Drosophila melanogaster: one gene and its partners. The protein of the gene in region 4 interacts with the protein of the main gene of each other region in a pairwise test. Each region holds a gene or a part of one and is shown on either strand. Other genes may lie near its edges. The genes, in order: Ets65A, Rcd-1r, CG14711 and CG15710.

Region 1 (5,501 bases), on a different chromosome or scaffold from region 4:
TGGACTATAAGGTGTGTGCTGATTTTAAGACTCCTCTAGAGCATCAAATTTCACCGGGAACGTGGTTTCTCTTTCAGGTTCACATAGATGCTGGTAAGGAGGACTGCTACCATCAGTACGTTAAGGCAGGAGCCACCTTCTACGTGTCCTTTAGTGTAAGTTGATAGAATTTGGGATCAATAGCATGTTTCCGATCCAATGGATGGGTTTCCCCTTGAGCAGTCTGTGATATTCTAAAATAAATCAAATCGAATCCATTAATACAGTAATATAATCTATCTAATACAATGAAATTATTCATATAAATTTTTTTTAGGTGGTGCGCGGAGGCGATGGAATGGCTGGTTTCGCCGTCCGCAATCCTGCTGGTGAAGTGGTGAAGCCCTACCAGTGGCAGGCTACTGCGGACTACACGGATCAGGTATCGCCCGGTGGCTACTACTCCGTCTGCATTGACAACCAGTTCTCCCGATTCGCTGGCAAGCTGGTCAACATCTATATCACGGTGGTGAAGTACGATGCATGGGACAAGTACGCCAAGGAGATCGAGCAGCTGCAGCTGAACATGCAAAACTTCACTGTAAGCCAAACTGGTTTTCAGACACACCCAAACATCCATTTACAAATATTCACATTGATCTATTTCTTTAGGCCACCGTTGGCACTGTGGAGCGCAACATCAACGATATGATGGGCTATCAAGCCCACAGTCGTCATCGCGAATCGCGTGATTATGCGTTGCTCCTGGACAACAATGCCTATATTCAAACCTTCTCGATTAGCCAAATTGTGGTCATATTGATCACGTGCTCTGTACAGGCGAGTATAGACATGTTTTTTGCTTTTCCTAAATTAATAACCTAATATTTGCAGGTATTCTTTGTGCGCAAACTATTTGAAGTAAAATCGAGCTCCAAAAGTCGCATCTAAGGCGCAAAGATACTTTTCAAAGACTTCGCAACATGTTTCTAAAATTCCATCCGCATTTCCAAGACATTCATTCTATTCTACCTGCTGAATGAGTTTTTGTAACTTATTTTATCACTGGCTAATTGATCAAGCGCAACTGAGCAGACTTTTTTATAATTGGGACTACTTATGTCATACGAGTTATAGACAGCAAAACTTATTGTGATAAGTGTACATTTGTGTGTTTTGTTTAATTAAAAGATTGAAGATTTTTGTATTTGCTTTGTTTTATTTGGGAAAGAACCTTAAGGATTTATTCGAAGCCATTTGGGTTTGTTAATTTACTAAAAGCTCTACAAGCTTTAAAGTTAAGCTGCTTTGGTAAGCTCACTTAACCGTTAAATTTCATTATCCTGGAAAGGATTTTAAACTTAAAAATATATAATTCAGGTTGTTGTTTTAAGAAACCTGTTTTTCTTTTTATATGGGAGTAAGTTATTTTCAAATTACGACATTGTTGCAAAGACATCTTCTCGTTGCCTAAAACCAATCTTAAATATTAAATACATGCTGTACATGAGCTCATTAGTTTAAATTGAGAGCTGAAGACATTTCGAAGACATTCCACAACTTGGGCTGGCAAATTAATCACCCCGAATGCCGCTTATCGCAAATTATCCTGCCCCATCCATCGCAGGACCTTAAATCATGTCACCAGGCTCACCGCTTATCTAGACGTCATTTAGCACATGTGTGTGTGCTCTGCAGCAGCTGGCATGTTAATTATATCCTTTTTGGCAGGCAGCAGGAGCATCTGGGTATCTTGGCGGGTCTTTTGTGGCCACTGCTGCTCGAAATTAAAATGTTATTATGCGAGGCTTATCTGCGGGCCTTAAAGCCACCGCAAAACTAAGGTCCTAATGGCCTCGCACACCAGCACACGCTCTTTAACTGTTTTAAACGCCATTGTTAAAATATTGCTCATACGCACTTCCGCCCAAAATGGGGTCTTCTCTCTTCGGCAGCACTAATGATGCCCCAAGAACGCGGAGCAAAGGACCCGGCGAAAGGCAGGAGCATCCACAGCCATAGCCACATCCACATCCACATCCCCGATGGCACAGAGTTGGCTCCGCCCACCAGCAGCCGATGACAGCGGCAGATAACAGAGCAGCGGCAAAGTGGGCGGTGGATGGGGTTGTGGTGCGGAGAGCGCGCCTGCGCATTAGCCGCCGCAGAAACGCAGGACGATGGGGTGACACATCCTCGGTGATAGCGCCCAGTTCCCCTGCCACACAGAGCCACCGCTTGTGGGAGGAGTGTGTCGCCATCTTTGAGCGTGGACTGGTGACTGGACGGGATGATCTGGCCGCCACATTAACTTGGAGTGCGCGCTACCAAGTGCAACACGTCGCGGACGACATAATAGCGGTACTTTGCGGTTTAGATTCGTCGGTCACACGTCGTCAATATTCCCGGGACAAGGACCAAACTAGCGAACCTTTCTTGGTCAGCACAAGCGGCAAACGAAGGCACAAAAACCACAAAAAACACAAAGCACACACACGGCACACACTTGTACACTTACACACGGCAAGCAGTGCGGAAAACTTGGACACATACGCCCAGCTTGTTGCTGGCTGTGGGCGTGGCAGCGCACGAAAAAGAAACAGACAAGGACACACACATGTGTCCTGCCAGTGTGTCGCGGAAATTTTTGTGCGGAAATTATAGAAATTTCGCTTTTTGATTTCATTTTCGTTCCGCTTTCGTTGCGAACCTCTCACCCCTCGCCACCCACCACCACCCACCTTTTGTGCACCTGCACCTGTGCGAAAAGACATCGAGAAATGCCCAAGGAGCCCGCTGCCGTCGGTGTCCAGTTGGCTTGGTGGTCGTCGCCGTCATCGTCCTTGCAGTGACAAATTTCCTTGCATATCCGCTCCAGGACTACGAAACTTTGGCTGCAAACAAAACCGTCATTTGCGTGGCGCGTCGCTGTCGCGTTCACTTGTCGCATATCCGTCGCCATTTTGACAATAATTTCATTTCCGGTTGGCAATTTGTACGCACTTGAGTGAGTGATTAACTGCACCGATTCCCAACGATTGTGAAGTGTTTAAGATTACTAAGTTGTAACTTAAGTTGTCCCGACGGAAGTTTAAGAGACAGTCAAAGAGGAGACTTATTTTTGGATAAACTTTATTGCACATACAGGCACAATCCTGAGGTGAGTTATGTTCGAATTATAGAATGATCAACATGATTCAGAACTCCGACGGGGTCCTAAATAACTAATGTATTTTTAAGTGCTTTGTTGAACCAAAGTTGAAGTAAATTAAAGATAATATCGTAACGGTAGAATTTTATTCAAAAATTGAAAACATACTCCTAGGCTTAAATGGGGAAAATCTCCAGCATAAAATGGGGAAAATATTAAATGCATAAAAATATTTGAAATGTACGAATTCAGAATACCAGACATGTTGAAGTCTATTTTAAATCTAAAAATTTATAACCAATGTCAGTAAAGAATAATTACAATAATAAACTTTAATATTTTGATAGAATTTATTTCGAATTTCTAAGATATTTGTAAACTATGATACTTTCTATTCAAACATTCTGATCTGATAAATTAAATCCACTTACATAGAATTTTGAGCGCTTAGATACAGCACCTGTGAACTTAGATGGTTGCTTTTAATTTCTAACTAACGACAGTTATCCAACCCCTAAAAAGCTCACCCCACCATCATCAGATAATTGTGAAGCATATGTTTCTGCTAATCGAATTAGTAGACTTAAAACGGAAGTATTCATAAACCAGAAAAAAAGCACATCAGCAGCATCATTGGGTAAAAGCTTGACAATTAAACAGCAGCACAGTTTCATCAACCAGTCGGCTGTGCAAACATTCAAAAATCCTAATTTCCTAAAATCGCATAAAAATCTTACAAACCATTAAAGAGCAGCCAAACGTGTGGCCTCTTAATTAAAGGATCTCTCGTCCAACAAGGGGATTACACCATTAACAGCTGTCGAAGAGCATAAACTCGGCAATCACAGCGATACCAAGTGGTATTCAAAGGACTCAGCACGCGCTGCAGAACGGGACGAGCATTCAGCCCATCTGCAGACCGACATCCTGGCATCCCGCTCGTATTTCCGGTGTGCGCGCGTTCGCTCAGCGATTGTGATAACTTGGGGAATACAAGGATACCAGAATACAAAAAAAATAAAATGTCTGCCTGCTAATGTTCGCTGGTGAAATTTGCCTACATGCAAACGCAGCCACTCGGCCTGAGTACAAATAATAAATAATAAATGAGGCGTGTGCAGGCCGTTTATAATGTCTGACAAGGCGCAAAGTTGATGATGTTCTGTAGATGCGACCGTTTCGATAACGAAATCTATTTACTCCTCCCGGCAAACTTAAAGCTGCTGGGGTTTCAGTTACAGTTTTCATTTCGGGTATGTTTGGTGTACTTTAAGCCAGAGACAGGACAAGTCGCACTTTGTATGGCATAAATTTCGTTGGCATAAATCAAAATTCAGCAACTTCCGACGAGGGCAGAGTGCAAAAATTTGCATGCCCCCTGTGTGTGCTAACTGCAGACTGGCCGAAAAGGGCCAGTAAACAATGGTTCGCCTTCCCCAGCTTCGACCAGCTGGACATTAGAGAGCCACGCTCAAATGGCCGCCACCCACGCACAGTTCAACGCTCATACGCAACGTTGGCCCAGTGCAAAAAGCGGGACTGTACACACAATAAATAACGAGCCAGATAATTATGCACGTCGTGCTTATATCTAAGGGAACACTAGCTCCACAGCTCCAAAGTAGCCACTATTAATTATGCCAGAACATCGGGGGGGTTTTCGGGTAGCTAGCTTAACGTGTTGGGGCCATGGCAATTAGAGCGATTGTTTGGCCCGAGAGGCATTCTAAAATTGCAGTATTTAATTGTGGACCACGCGCTATGATTTATTAATATCTCGCTCTGCAATTTGCCATGAGGTGAGTGATGGAGTTTACTTGGACTTTAAAGCAATTAAATCTTCTGGTTTGACTACCAATAGAGTACAAGAGTGTATGAATAAATATCTTAAGTTTTAGTAACTTATAAGTACTAAGTATTCATTTATATTCATTTTCGTTTGTAATTTTCGCAGTTTTATAAGTACTATAAAACCAATTTGTTCTATCTATTACTTTCTCCGGCAGAGTCAAGTGGAATCCCTTGTTTAGCCAACAGCCACCCATCGAGGCTCCCCAGGCGTGCGCCATGTACGAGAACTCCTGTTCGTATCAGACGGCGCTGGACCTGAAGAGGGTATCGCCACCGACTCTCGCCCAGGTGAAAACGGAGGAGTGCCTTGCACTCGGACAGTGCTCGCCAGAATGGACCTCGTACCGCTTCCATCAGTCCACCTTCGAGCAGCTGAAGCAGAGTGTGGAGAAGGCCAAGGCGGCGCTGCAGGATCGCAGCAGTTTTTTCGGGGCCAGCAGTGCCTTTAGGTGAGTAACATCTTAAGATGTAACTATTTTGCACTAAATAAAATTTATAAACCATTTAACTTGGAAATCTT
Region 2 (4,215 bases), on a different chromosome or scaffold from region 4:
CGCCGTATAAAAGAGTTCTTGGCATTTAAAAAGAGTTTAGTTTAAAGCGAATCGACATCTTGCAAAGTTGTACTACAGTTAAGTGTGAAGTAAAAATATTTAAACCAAAATGTATATGAAAGCTTTAATAGTCAGCATACTTGTGGCCTTTGTGTGTGTGCAAATTGGTGAGTCAATTGCGTAAAATGTGAAATTCGAGATCAACTGATTGTTTTTAACATGGATTATAGCTGATTCCCTGAAGTGTTACACCTGCGTAACGCCAAAGGACTGCAAGAGTCCCAAGAAAGTCACCTGCACGAATGCGGCTGCGAATGAGACTAGTTACTACCTGGGTGTCTATCATCAGAATGTTGGCAACCTAACCAGCACGCGATTCGATTGCCTGGCTCTGAAGTACAACTGGAGTGAGTAGCGTGGGGACCCCAGAAGCGGACTATAAAGATTTATTAACTACTTTCCACTTGCCAGATAACGATGTGATCCATCAGCTCCATGGCTGTGTGCATCCAAATGTTGGAGCCTGCAGCTTAGCACTTAAGCCGGCCTATGCTCACTACAATAAGACCTGGTGTCTCACCTGTTCGGGCGACAAGTGCAACAAGAATCCGGCCGGAAAGATGAGCAGCAGCACTATTGCCATCGCGTCTAGCGTTCTGGGTCTCTTGCTGGTCAAGATGTATGCCTAGTGTGACTATTAATAAATATGAGCTAGGAGCTATGATATTTTATATTTGATATTTTTTATTGTACCGTCAATTTTAGTAATATCATAATTTCATTTGTAGATTATGTAGGCCATGTTTATTCGGTCGAGCAGTTAACTAGGAGTGGGTATCACTAATCGATGGCGCTTGAATGGACGGTGGAGTGACGAAAGTTGTTGGGCGCTTCTCTAGGAGGAGCCCATTGGGTTGACGGCGTTTGTCTGCAGGTTCTTGAGCAGCATCTGCAGCCACTGCTTGGTGCACGTGTCATGTTGCACGAGCGACGTGAAGGTGCCGTCACGCAGCAGATCCGGCAGACACACTCTAAGTGCACTGCGAGCGCGCGCATTTTCCGTAAGTAGTAGATAGCAGCGCACCACATGCTTCAGCACCCGGAGGCATGGAAACTTCAACATATGGATGACCATTTTGCCCAGGGTGATGGCCACCTGCGAGAAGCGATCGTGGTTCTCGCAAATGTACGTCAGACCCATCTCATCGAGCAGTATCTTCTCAAGGATTGAAGTGGCCGCGATCTTGGTCAGCTTCGATCCCCTGACCATATTGGTCAGACAGTGAGGCACGACCTCGCTCCATATCAGGAAGATGAGGACCTCCGTATCACCGGTCTCGGCCAGAGCATTAATCACGCCCAGCGTGGTCAGGCGCAGCTGCTCGAAGGGCCTGCTCTTGAACGTGGTCGACAAGAAGGGGTACAAGTACATCGGTATCTGGTCCCGCAGGAAGGCCGGGCGAGTCTCCGGATGCGAGGCGACGCACTGTAGCAAAGTCAGGGCGTAGCACACGCGGTTCGACTGGTTGGCCTTCAAAACGGGCGTCGTTATTATGGGGTATATGTTGACGATCTCCTGCAGCAGGGTGCAGGTGGTACCGACGCTTTTCCACAGCATGGGGGCCAGGTCCGCATAGGTGTTCTTGCTCAGCTCCAGCAGAGCGGTCTCCCGCGTGGCAGGATAGGCCAGCTCGATGATCAACTGGTACACCTTCTCCCGCTCGGCCTGCTGCTGGGGACTCATTACCGGACTTGGTTCCGCACTCATCGCAAAGCTGGTTTTTTTTCGCGTTAGCTTGCAAAGATCTAGTAGCTTGGAAAGATCTGGCTCCGGAATTTCGACGGACGATTGAGAAACGTGGTTTCGAGTTGGCGTCTATTGTGGTTATCGATATAAGCTTCAAGCGAGAAAGGACCGAAAGCACGTGGCCGAACAATGTGGCCAGAGCCGAGGAACGCACGAATGCCATAAATTAATAAATAATTTCTTGTTCGAATGTCTCCCAGAATTTTGTTTCTTATCACCATTGATTTGATTGGCAGCTTGGAATTCGTCTGGAAATTCACGTTTTCTCTATATTTTACAAGTATTAATCGGTAGATGATTAAAATTTATGATTCTATTAAGTATGTCATAGCATAGCTTAGCTCTCTGAAATGGCCAGACTAATTGCGCATCTGATGGAGGTCCGATTTATGGCTTAATGACCATTAAGTACTTTTGGACACCAGTTTTAGAATTAATGAATTCGTATTGACAAATACTATAAATCAAAAATCATTCTAGCACACACAAATATTTGCCTTTAAAATTTTCAAATATTTTATCTCGCATTTAACCCATTAAACAGATGGATGCTTGGAATAGTTGTCCATTTCTGGAATTACTTGCCAATACAGAAATGGTTAACAGAAAATGTATTCTTTGCCACATCGTGCAACATTTCAATTTTGTTTGTTGCAGAGAGCTTTAAAAATTTCAGTCCGTCACATAAATTGGCCAACTATCCCAGAGAAAATCGGAGATTCGAACGAGCCGAGAAACAAGAATAAATCTTTAATAGTGTTGCCGTCTGCCTAAAAGTCAATCTCACTTTTGCATGCCGAACATTATCCGGTGGGTCATGTTATGGTTATCGTGGCTCGGTTTGTTTGGAGCTGCATTCAGGCATTTAATTGATTGATTGTTGCTCGTCTATGTCTGCATCGATTTGGCCGTGTTCACGCCCCTTTCACCCTTTCACCGAGCCGCCTCCAAAATCCCGTTACAGCGTCCCCTTTTTCGGATGTTTCATAACCAAAGCGGAAGGGATCCATGCCGCCCATCATATCGTGCACGGTTATCAAATCGACTTCCAGGCTATATCCTCGCATACATGCATATGTGGTCCACGTTGTTCCTGCTGCCAATTAGTGTTGGTGCGTCATCTGTGTGGCTGTGTGAGTGTTCATGTATGTATGCGTGTGTGCACGTCATCAATTAATTTTTGTATTGTTACTTTTTTTTTTTTTGACTGGTTTTTTGCAGCCCTCGGTGGGTTACGTGGGGAATACCCCTGTTGACTGATTGGTTTCTTTTCGATTCAATTGTTTCATGTGTGCCTCGGAATGGGAATGGATGTGTTTGCTAAACAAAGTTATGACTATGGTCACGGCTATAGCAGCTGGCTCAGGACTAGCTATACAATACTATAGTTTTACTATAGGCAAGCTTAAGAAGTTATTGTTCCCTCGAGATATGCGAATCAAAACGAGTGTCACTAAGAAATTATAGTTGTTAACAATGGAAAGTCAACACTTATGATACAATTCTTATCTGTCTTGCCTTAACCAATAACTGTAACAGTCTTAAATACTTGAATACAAACTACTGCTTACATTTGAGACCTACCCAGATTCAAAAATCAAACATCCGCACCACCAGGAATATTCTTACTTTCCCCTTATCTGTGCTCCAAATCCACCCTCGATATCCGAAACTTGTTGGGAACTCCCGGAAACTAAATTAAGTTTAGCTTCAACTACAATATGTACATTTGATTTATGCATTGAGAGACCATGGAGCAACCTGCCCGAGACCCCAGAAAATTTCCTCCTGCGAAAACGAAGACGGGAACCCTCTGATAACTAAGCCAAACCTATTCAACTTTCACGTTCGCATTGTTTGCACGAGCACGAAAAGTTATTAAGATGCATAGACGTGATTTTGCATGTTTTAAAAAAGAATACATAATGCCACAGATGAGACGGGGGAGCAAAGGACGTGGTATTAGTTGGGGGGAAGCTGGGATCTTGACTTGCACTTTAAGTACTTTTAATTTACCAAACAAATTTCCATTCTTCGCGACGACCGAAAATGTTGCATTCGAGAGGCCAAAAGAGGCCCGAAACTTGTCTCACACCGCAAAGACAAACTCATTGACATGCCTGAGACAGGAATTGAATTAAAAGTTTTCGTCCTTCTGCGCGGAAATAGAATAACGAGTAGAAGTTTCATTGTTGGGCTTTTGGAAAAAAAGTTTGCTGCATTTAAATTGATTTGTAATTCGCGGTTAATTTGGTTTTTTTCAGCTCCTTCTTTGGTTACTTTTATCAATTTTACATTGTTAGTTTTGGACCCTTCTATGCGATTAAATTATTATTTTAATTCGACACGGAATGCCTGACAGATATTTCAATTTCCCTTTGTATTTAGTTTTTACTGAAAAAATGCTG
Region 3 (4,596 bases), on a different chromosome or scaffold from region 4:
GGAACTGACTAGCCATACGCGTATCCACACGGGCGAGCAGCCATACGTGTGCGTCTACTGTCCACGTCGGTTCTCCTCTTCAGGCGCTCGCCAGGAGCACCATCGCCGCCATCGGAACGAACGCCGCTACGAGTGCGACACGTGCAAAAAGAGTTTTGTAAGCTCCGGATGTCTCAGGAAGCACAAGATGATCCATGTGGATGCGCGGAATCACTAGTGGGCATTTCGATTTCTGCCAACTCTGCACATTATTTGTATTACACGTTTCAACACACTTTGATTTTACAGCTGCTACGTATGTCAGAAGCACTTCAAACGAATCTCCCATTTGATGACCCACCTGTCCAGCAATATTCATAAACGCAAAGAAGAGAAACTCACGGAGCTAGCCATTGAACAATGAAGCTGCCTATCTAGCCATTACACTAATTAGCTATCGGTAAGAATTCTAAAATTCCGCGTCCTTTTCTTTAACAAGGTAGACGTACATTTAAGTACAGGTATTCGCATAAATCCATTTTATGCGAATATCTAGCATATTTGGTTTTACTTTTTGTTTCCCTAAGGAATAGAAGAAGAGCCGCATCCCTCCCGACTTCCAAACGTTTTTAGATTTTGATGTAAAACGTTACAAGTTATAAACCTAAAAAAACAAAACATATTTACTTGTCCAAAAAAAGAAGATTTAATTAATCCTGTGCCATTCGATTATTATTCCATGTTGTAGCTTCCACAAACGGTAACAAAGTCTTCGACAGAGCACAAAGAAAAGAAACAATAAAAAACGCACACTCATTTAATGGCCAAAATGATGTTAAAACTACCAAATAAACGCACAAAATCAAAGATTGTAATCGTGTTCCAATTTTTTTCTCGAATATATGGACGTAATAAAAAACATTACAAAAAATATTTGTGTTTTTGAACAAGTTCTTTAACCAAATAGTAATAAATCAAATCCGATTATTTTACACATCCGGTCTGACCATTTGTACTCTTTTTTATTTTACAATTTTTATATATAATTAAATGTACATTAATGAATTATCTAACAGAAATTGTATTGCATTGTTTTCGACTAATAGCGCCCCGTCCGTTCGTTTTTGTGGTGTATTACAGTCTGTTGGTGGGTCATGGTGCCCAAATGCTGATCCAACTGGTGCTTGCGGGAAAAGGTCTTATTGCAGACTCGACAGCTGAAAAATTAAAGGGAATTTAGGGTTATACATGATTAAAGCAGTCAATGGACCTACAGAAAAGGCTTCTCGCCCGTGTGGGTGAGCATATGGTTTTTTAGCACGTTAGAGTAGGAGAATGCCTTGCCGCATGTGGAGCAAGTGAAAGGTCGCTCGTTTGTGTGTGTTCTGCAAAAGGAACAAGTATAGTTTATATGAAGATTACTATGAGGAATTGCATCTTCACCTTTCATGACGAATATTGGAGCTGCGATCCGCAAACGAGCGGTTGCAATATTTACACAAGAATGGTTTCTCGCCCGTGTGAACGCGGATATGGCGATTTAGCTCGGATGGACCCGCGAAGGATTTGCTGCATATTCTGTAAGCGGAATAAGATTTACATAATATAAAATGGTTCAGATGATAATTTCAGATACTCACTCGCATTTAAATGGTTTCTCGGCCATATGACGACGCATATGAATGTTGAGAGCGGCTCGCTTGGAGTAGATATTGCCGCAGATTTCGCACATAATGTTCGTGGAGGATACTTCGGGAGATGATTTGAAGCTAGCTTGAACAGGCGGACGCTCCTCGCTAAAACTGCGTGGGTGTCCGGAGCTAGCACCGCGAGGTCGGCCACGTCCACGTTTAGTCATCCGCGTTTTACGCACCTTAGCTTTGCGGCAGCGCTCGATGGGCTGGTAGTCGCTATCGGTGCTATTCGGCACCAGCAAGTCATCCTCGTCCAGGTCGTCCACTACAGTGCTAGTCTCGTAGGCCTGCGACGTTTCCCCGACACCATCCTCCAGGGGCTCCTCCATGATGTTCTCCATTCCGATGTCATCCTCGACACCGTCGATGAAGTCGTTGGCCGATTCGTAGATGTACTCAATGTTGTCAGCCACTACGTGCGGCACCTCGTCCGTTGGCTCCGACTTCATCTCGGCCTGACATGGTACCGGGTCAAGTGGGATGTTTATATGTGGCCCATCAACTCTATACGTACCTTGACTACATTGGTGGCAAATGTGCGCTCGCTCTCCTGGCAAAGCTCCCGGAACTTGTGGGCACTGGTCAGTCGCTCCACGCAGCTGTAGCACAACATACTGGGGATGTTCTGCAGCGGCACCAGCTGAAAGCACAGAGTGGGTTAAGTCGCAGGATTTTACATTTGCATCCACATGTACCTTTATGCTGCCCACTTCTTCAATCTTGCGCACCAGCTCCCGGCACTGGGCGTCGTTGTCATCGAACAGGGGCGCCATCGCCTCCGAGTTGATGTCCTCTGTCAAGCAGATTCGGCACAACATGTACTCGGGCATTATCTTGCACGTCCTGGACGTACGTATGCTTGCAATTCTGAAATAAACAAGCGTCTTGGAACTTTTCCCAGGGTTGTCATGTACGCAAAACGATAAATGGCTATCGAACTTGCTATCGGCATATCGATTGAATAATTGATAATAATTAAATCTTAATTTTTTTTTTTAAACTAACAGGTGGGCCCTATTAAATATTTAAGCTTGAGTCACGCAATAAAAATACAGTTTTAGAACTAAATGCAAAAAAATTTGGAATGATAGTTGAAAACTGTTACTAATTCCGCGTACCTGACAACCCTTTTACTTTTAATTCACTGCTCTGGCATTTGAATCGGCATTTGACGCGAAAGAGGGACTTCCTGCGGAAATAACGATGGAAATCAGCATTAAATGGAGCATGTGCCGCACTTGCCGCAAAAAAGGAACGCAATCCACGCTGCAGTCGCTCTTCGAGTCCAATGCCCACAAGCTGTTGATCTCGTATGCCGGCACATCTGTGAGTACTCGATTTCTGTTTGGCTTCCAGTTTACCAGTTACAAATCCTCTCTCCTAGGTGAAACCGGATGATGGACTGCCGGATCAAATTTGCACAGTCTGCTTGATGCAACTGGAGGAGGTGGACAGATTTCTTAGCGCGTGCAAACAATCCGACGCGCACCTGAGAAGCCTCGTTCGTCAAACTCTGTCCTCCGCATCGGCATTTGAGACGCTGGAGGATAAGGACCAGCTTGAACAGAAAAAACGCGCCAGGAAGCAGAACATTTCGGGGAGACTCATCGAAGAGAATCCTATTAACTTTAAGACTCAAGAGAATGCATTGGAAACGACCAAAGATGATGAAATCTTACCCATAAATAAATTTTCAAGCGATTTCGTGTTCGATCTCAACGTGAATGCGGAAAACGAGAAAGACATACACCAGGAGGACTATACCATCAGTGATATGGATTTGGACAGGGAGATCTCCGATCAAAATTACTCCGAAACGTATTCGCAAGAAAGCAGCGCTGCTACGGACAGTATTCAAGAGACAAGCGAGGATTACCATAATCTAGAGCCAAGTGCCGACTACGTGATAGATCTAGGAGTGGCCTGCGAGCCGGACAAGTACAGATGCAAGATCTGCAGCAATACATACCGCTGCTTATCTCAGCTAAATGCACACTCGCAGGTGCACCGCAAGGAAAAGGACCACCAGTGCGAGTAAGTATCCGTGATATATCTTAACATAATATTTCATATATAAAATGTATGATTCAGGGTTTGCCAAAAGACATTCAGAGCCGCCTGCAACCTGAAAACACACATGCGGACGCACACGGGCGAGAAACCTTACCAATGTTGCTACTGTTCGCGCCGTTTTGCCGACAACAGCACTCATCGCAAGCACGAACGGTAGAATGGACAAAAACTATATATATTGTGTACAGCATTTAAGTTCCAATGTTGAATTTCTTCATTTCAGTTTGCACACGAATGAAAGACCCTATGCTTGCAACATATGTGGAAAAACATTCTCTCTGTCCTCCTCTCGTAACGCTCACTACTACCTGCATTCGTCTGAAAAGTCTCACAAGTGTCTTATGTGTAAAAAAGAATTTCGGCTTAAGCACCAACTTACAGCGCACGAGAAGTCTCTTGCGCACCGTCTGATAGCTAAGGAGTACAGCGACGTGGTAGAATAGTTAATAAAAATAGCTGGTCTATTCTGGAAAAGTGGCTTTATACTACTTATAATAGATAACCCTAGTTCCTCAATTAATTTACTATATTAGCTCTCTAACATTTCCGGAGAGCTGGGAATGGTTTGCTCCATTTTGTTGCGGTGGGTTAGCGTTTGCAGGTGAGCTTTCAGCTGGTGCAGCAGAGTGAATGACTTGCAACAGATACCACAGCTGAAAAGTTCAAATTATTAATAAAAAGTGCAAATCACTAGAAAGGATTACTCTCCCTTACTTGTAATTCTTTTGGGCGGAGTGCGAAAGGATGTGATTTTTGAGGATGGCTGTGTGCGTAAAAGTTTTCCCGCACTCCTGGCAGGCATAAGGACGCGTGTTGGTGTGGACCCGTTCATGGCGGACCCGTTCGCTGC
Region 4 (4,132 bases):
GGAGCACGCCAGCGGGAACTTCTTGAAGCGCATGTTGTGCAACCTTTCGTTCTTTTGCCCATCCACGGCGTAGATGGTGGCTAGGCCATTCATGCCCGCCACTAGAGCAGCAGTACTGGTTGGATGAAACTGAATGCTGGTGGCATTACCCTCGGCATATGTGGCCCTGTTCAGGTCTTTGACCCGTTTAAAATTCAGAGTCTTCTGGGGCAGATCACTGTTCCGGGCTTTACGATCGATAAAGCCAACCGTCCGCAGCAGTTCTTCGTCGGAGGATACGTCCTCGTCGTCCTCATTTTTGACCTTCTTTTCCGCCCACTTGGGTTGGTTAAGCGTGCGCTGGAATCGCGCCGTAAGATACTCCTTGTACGATTTATCCTTGCGCAGGTGGTTCAGTGGACCCGTGTGCTTTGTGGCCTTCTTGACATCGCCCACCTGCAGGTCCTCGTCATCGGAATCCGACCAGGCGGCTTTCCGCTTGTCGCCTGGCTTTGCCTGGCCGGGATTTTCCTCCTGCTCGTCTTCGTCATCGTTCGGCAACTTTTGTCCCACGGACTTGGCTAGATTGGTGAGCAGTCGCTGCCTGTCGCCGAAGAGCACCTTTTCCATGGGCACCTCCACATAGTTGAGCTCCTTGGCCTGCGAGGCCTTTGGAATATAACGTTCCCTTTTGATCTTTGCCGGTTTCTCTTGCTCCTGCTGGCCGTAGAGGGCCTTCAGACTCTGCAGCTCCTCCAAACCGTCGCTGGACTCGTCTGAACTCATCGTGTTCGCTGGAAATGCACGCAAATTCGTTTATTTACGAACTTTTCTTTGGACCGCAAAAAAATATACACGTGCAGCTGGGCGGGAAATCGACTAACGCTTTAAATCAAAAATACCACGCCACGGTGGATTTATCGATAAGTGTGACCACATCGATAGCAGATCGAAATAGATATCGGTGGGATGGGCGCCATAATTTGAAAATTATAAAAAATATTACAATTAAAAAATATATTTATTTAATTTAAAATTAAAATGTGCGAATTTGTATAATCAATTATTAAAACTTTGCACAACTTCTGTAAATGTTACCTCGCTGACCTCGGTGATTTCAATCTCACGCTTTCTTTTGCATTTATCCGGCATCTGGCAAGTTTTCAGATGACGGTGAAGGAAACCCTCATATTTGTACTTTTTCCCACAACGATCACAGATTAATTCGGGCCTTCTCTTCCCTAAGATCTTTTTCTCCTCCTCCTGGGCCTTCAGCCTTACGATACATGCGTCGCACGCGTATCGACGGGTCACTTGGCCAGGCTTAAAGCAGGCCTTGAACTCCGTGCGACAAAAGACGCAATTGAAGGTCTTGGTGATGGTGTACGCCCCTTCGTAGGATTCATCCGTGGACTCGCACGGTATCAGATGGCTCTCCAAATGGGTGCGATACTCCAGATCCGTCCCGAACTTGACATGGCAGGATGCACAGGTGCGATTCATTGATGGGCTTCCATGCAGGAGCCTGTGGCCGATCAGGGCATCCACCGAGGAGAAGATTTTCTTGCAAATGTTGCACTGATGCTGGGACACGTCCGGCACATCCTTCATCATGCGTGCCAAGCGTCTTTGGCAGGCCATCAGATGGACCTTGTAGGCACCGGCCGTGCGAATCACATTAGAGCAAAGCGGACAGTGGAAGCGTTGCGTGTTGTCCTCCAGGAAAACTTTCTCCTCTTTTATCGGCTGCAAACAGGGCGCCACGTACACCTTGGTAACAATACCATTATCCTCCTGAATCGACAGTAGAGTAGCTGGTTCCAGCTCCTCGGAAATCCAGTTGCCAGCACTTGTCATAATCCTTTGTGGGCTCTTGTGTTTCGCCAGTAAGAAGCGTACGAAGAAAGTGAGAAAGTCGCCGGTCATTGTCATTGAAAGATAGAAAGTAATACTCGATACTCGATACTCGGAAACTGTCAGGGCTGGAAAAGAAAGAAAGCGTATACGCGATAGGTATGCCTCAAAAATGTAAACTTTTTAAATTTGTCCAGGCAATGAAATTCGAATCCAACGCTTTCCTCCAAAAAAAAATTAAACGTTTTATTCGGATTACCATAAATGAGGTGGTAATATATTTAGCCATCATTTAGTTTAACCAATTAAGCAAACAATCTTCATGCATTTTTACTGTCTAAAGCAGAAGTATACATACTATATATATTCGGTTTAATTTCGTTTTTAAATGAAGTAGGTCAGCTTCACAGTTTCGAACGCAGCAAATAAATTATGTTTTATGAACCATATTAAAGGCTTCTCCATGATTTCGTCTGTGTTAGGAATTATTTTTAAAATATCATCTTAGAGACTTAAATATAAATTTAATTTAAATTAATTTCTAAGGAAGATAGCTATAGTTCAATGGCAAGCCTGGGCAGAATAAGATCTATACTCGTAAAACTGATTGTTTAGTTTGGTCTTTGAACTGTAAAATGCAGGAACATGTCTTTCGAGTGCCTCTAATCCCCGCCCAACTTCTGGCATTGTGGTAAGCTCCGGATCCCTGCTTTATGACACGCGTAATGCGAGTCAAAATATGCAATTAAACAAAAACTTCTTGACTGGAAAAATATTTGCATAACTTGGGCAAACAAATGTCGGAGCACGTCGTCCTCGTCACCAGTCGACAATGTCGAGTTGTTGTTGAACTTGTCATTACACACGCACAACCAGGAGAGCACCAGTCTCATCCACCCACTAACCACCCAACCACCCACTAATTTACCCATCCACTGGGGGTGGTGCTCTCGCCAAAGTGTGGATTAATAGCTGGGGTGGTGCTGCTGCTGCCAGAAATCAGCGCTCGTAAAATTTACGTAAAATTCATTAAGCGCAACAAAAGACGCTGACTGCGTGGAGCAAAAGGGGGCAGGGGCAGGTTGGAAGGGAAAGGGGGGGTGGCGCCTGCAATCGCTTAGAGACAAAGCCCTGCATAGTTGATAAGACGCGTCCTTCGCGGGGGGAGGACGTTGCTTGTAGGAGCAGTGGGTGTTTAGTTGGGTGCCTGGGTGGGTGACGGCTTGGCATTTGTGGTGCCCTCGAGTGTCTCCTGCCAAGTCAGGCGTCAAGCCGCACGGAGAGCAACCAATTTTTGTCATTTCAAAGGGTCCAGCATTATTGTTGCGCCATCCAGGCGGCGATACACTAGCAAATAATTTTCTATAAATATTAAACATACTTATCATTAATTTTAAGCAGCGCGAAGTTGGGTTGTTGGTATTTCCTCAAAAGATTGTGAATTATTTAAAAAGCATACACTATTCTTGAATGTATTATATGCTTTTTAAACCATTTAGGCTATTCTTTTTAGTTATTTTGAAGTAAGCTATCTGAAATATGAATATTTTTCATTTCAGAATCTGTTGATTTCAGATTAACAGAATATGGGATTCTTTTATATCTTTCTACTAATCCTTTACGCAGAAGCTTTTTTAATCGTTTGCCTTAAGTAATAATAGCTAATCAAGTTCCAAGGATTGAAGTTTGTCTAAGAATCGCTGCATTTTCTGGGAGTGTTCCCCGCCCATTTTCCGCCCACTTCCAATATCCTTGAGTTCCTGTGCAGCGAGGCGCTGCGATTCAGCGCTCCTTAAGTGGCCTGACATTGTGGCAGATCCTTTGCAGTCGCACTCCCAACTCCCCGCCATGCCAGTATCCCCCATTCCGCGCCCTGCATCTCGCATCCTGCGCTGCAACTCCTGCCGACTGACAGATTAGCGTGTTGACATTAAGTTTGTCCTTTGGCAGTGTAGGCTAACATATGGCCTTTAGTTGGCTTTAAGTATCGGGCGCATTTAGCTCCAGCTCCAGCTGCACATGCAAATGCTGATAGAGCCACGCATTACAGCATGTTGCGGTCGCTCCTTGTGGGCGTGGCGCCTGGCCACCTGCCCCTGTGCTCCATCGCTCCACCTATGTGCTATCTTTCGAATCACGGATGATGGCTCCTGTGGCATGTAATGAGTTTTCCATTGCCCCGCACACGGTGCATCAGGTTACCCGTACCTACATCACCGCTGATTTGTGCGGTTGATAATTGGGCGCGCGGTAATGTTGGTAATTAACGTCTTTCTGTCCACCGATATCGGCATATTGA

What was found.
Region 1: the proteins of CG15710 (region 4) and Ets65A interact in a two-hybrid assay, tested with the Drosophila melanogaster proteins (one large-scale study listed by BioGRID).
Region 2: the proteins of CG15710 (region 4) and Rcd-1r interact in a two-hybrid assay, tested with the Drosophila melanogaster proteins (one large-scale study listed by BioGRID).
Region 3: the proteins of CG15710 (region 4) and CG14711 interact in a two-hybrid assay, tested with the Drosophila melanogaster proteins (one large-scale study listed by BioGRID).

What each region holds. Positions count from the first base shown.
Region 1 is NT_037436.4:6,095,333-6,100,833, forward strand, and holds the start of Ets65A (Ets at 65A), read left to right. Parts: upstream 1-2,284; 5' UTR 2,285-3,139; intron 3,140-5,136; 5' UTR 5,137-5,197; coding exon 5,198-5,430; intron 5,431-5,501. Other genes in the region: loj (logjam), read left to right, coding at 1-11, 78-155, 317-580, 652-819, 874-930.
Region 2 is NT_033779.5:9,012,155-9,016,369, forward strand, and holds Rcd-1r (Rcd-1 related), read right to left. Parts: upstream 1,915-4,215; 5' UTR 1,769-1,914; coding exon 896-1,768; 3' UTR 731-895; downstream 1-730. Other genes in the region: CG13102 (uncharacterized protein), read left to right, coding at 110-167, 231-407, 472-689.
Region 3 is NT_033777.3:11,621,318-11,625,913, reverse strand, and holds CG14711 (uncharacterized protein), read right to left. Parts: upstream 2,576-4,596; 5' UTR 2,504-2,575; coding exon 2,369-2,503; exon of another isoform or gene 2,314-2,368; coding exon 2,188-2,313; exon of another isoform or gene 2,129-2,187; coding exon 1,620-2,128; exon of another isoform or gene 1,612-1,619; intron 1,560-1,611; exon of another isoform or gene 1,558-1,559; coding exon 1,423-1,557; exon of another isoform or gene 1,365-1,422; coding exon 1,254-1,364; exon of another isoform or gene 1,197-1,253; coding exon 1,079-1,196; 3' UTR 966-1,078; downstream 1-965. Other genes in the region: CG6813 (uncharacterized protein), read left to right, coding at 1-216, 289-403; Zaf1 (ZAD and architectural function 1), read left to right, coding at 2,877-2,999, 3,058-3,707, 3,765-3,899, 3,970-4,189; CG14710 (uncharacterized protein), read right to left, coding at 4,276-4,399, 4,461-4,596.
Region 4 is NT_033778.4:16,346,631-16,350,762, forward strand, and holds CG15710 (uncharacterized protein), read right to left. Parts: upstream 1,898-4,132; 5' UTR 1,837-1,897; coding exon 1,039-1,836; 3' UTR 984-1,038; downstream 1-983. Other genes in the region: wcd (wicked), read right to left, coding at 1-765.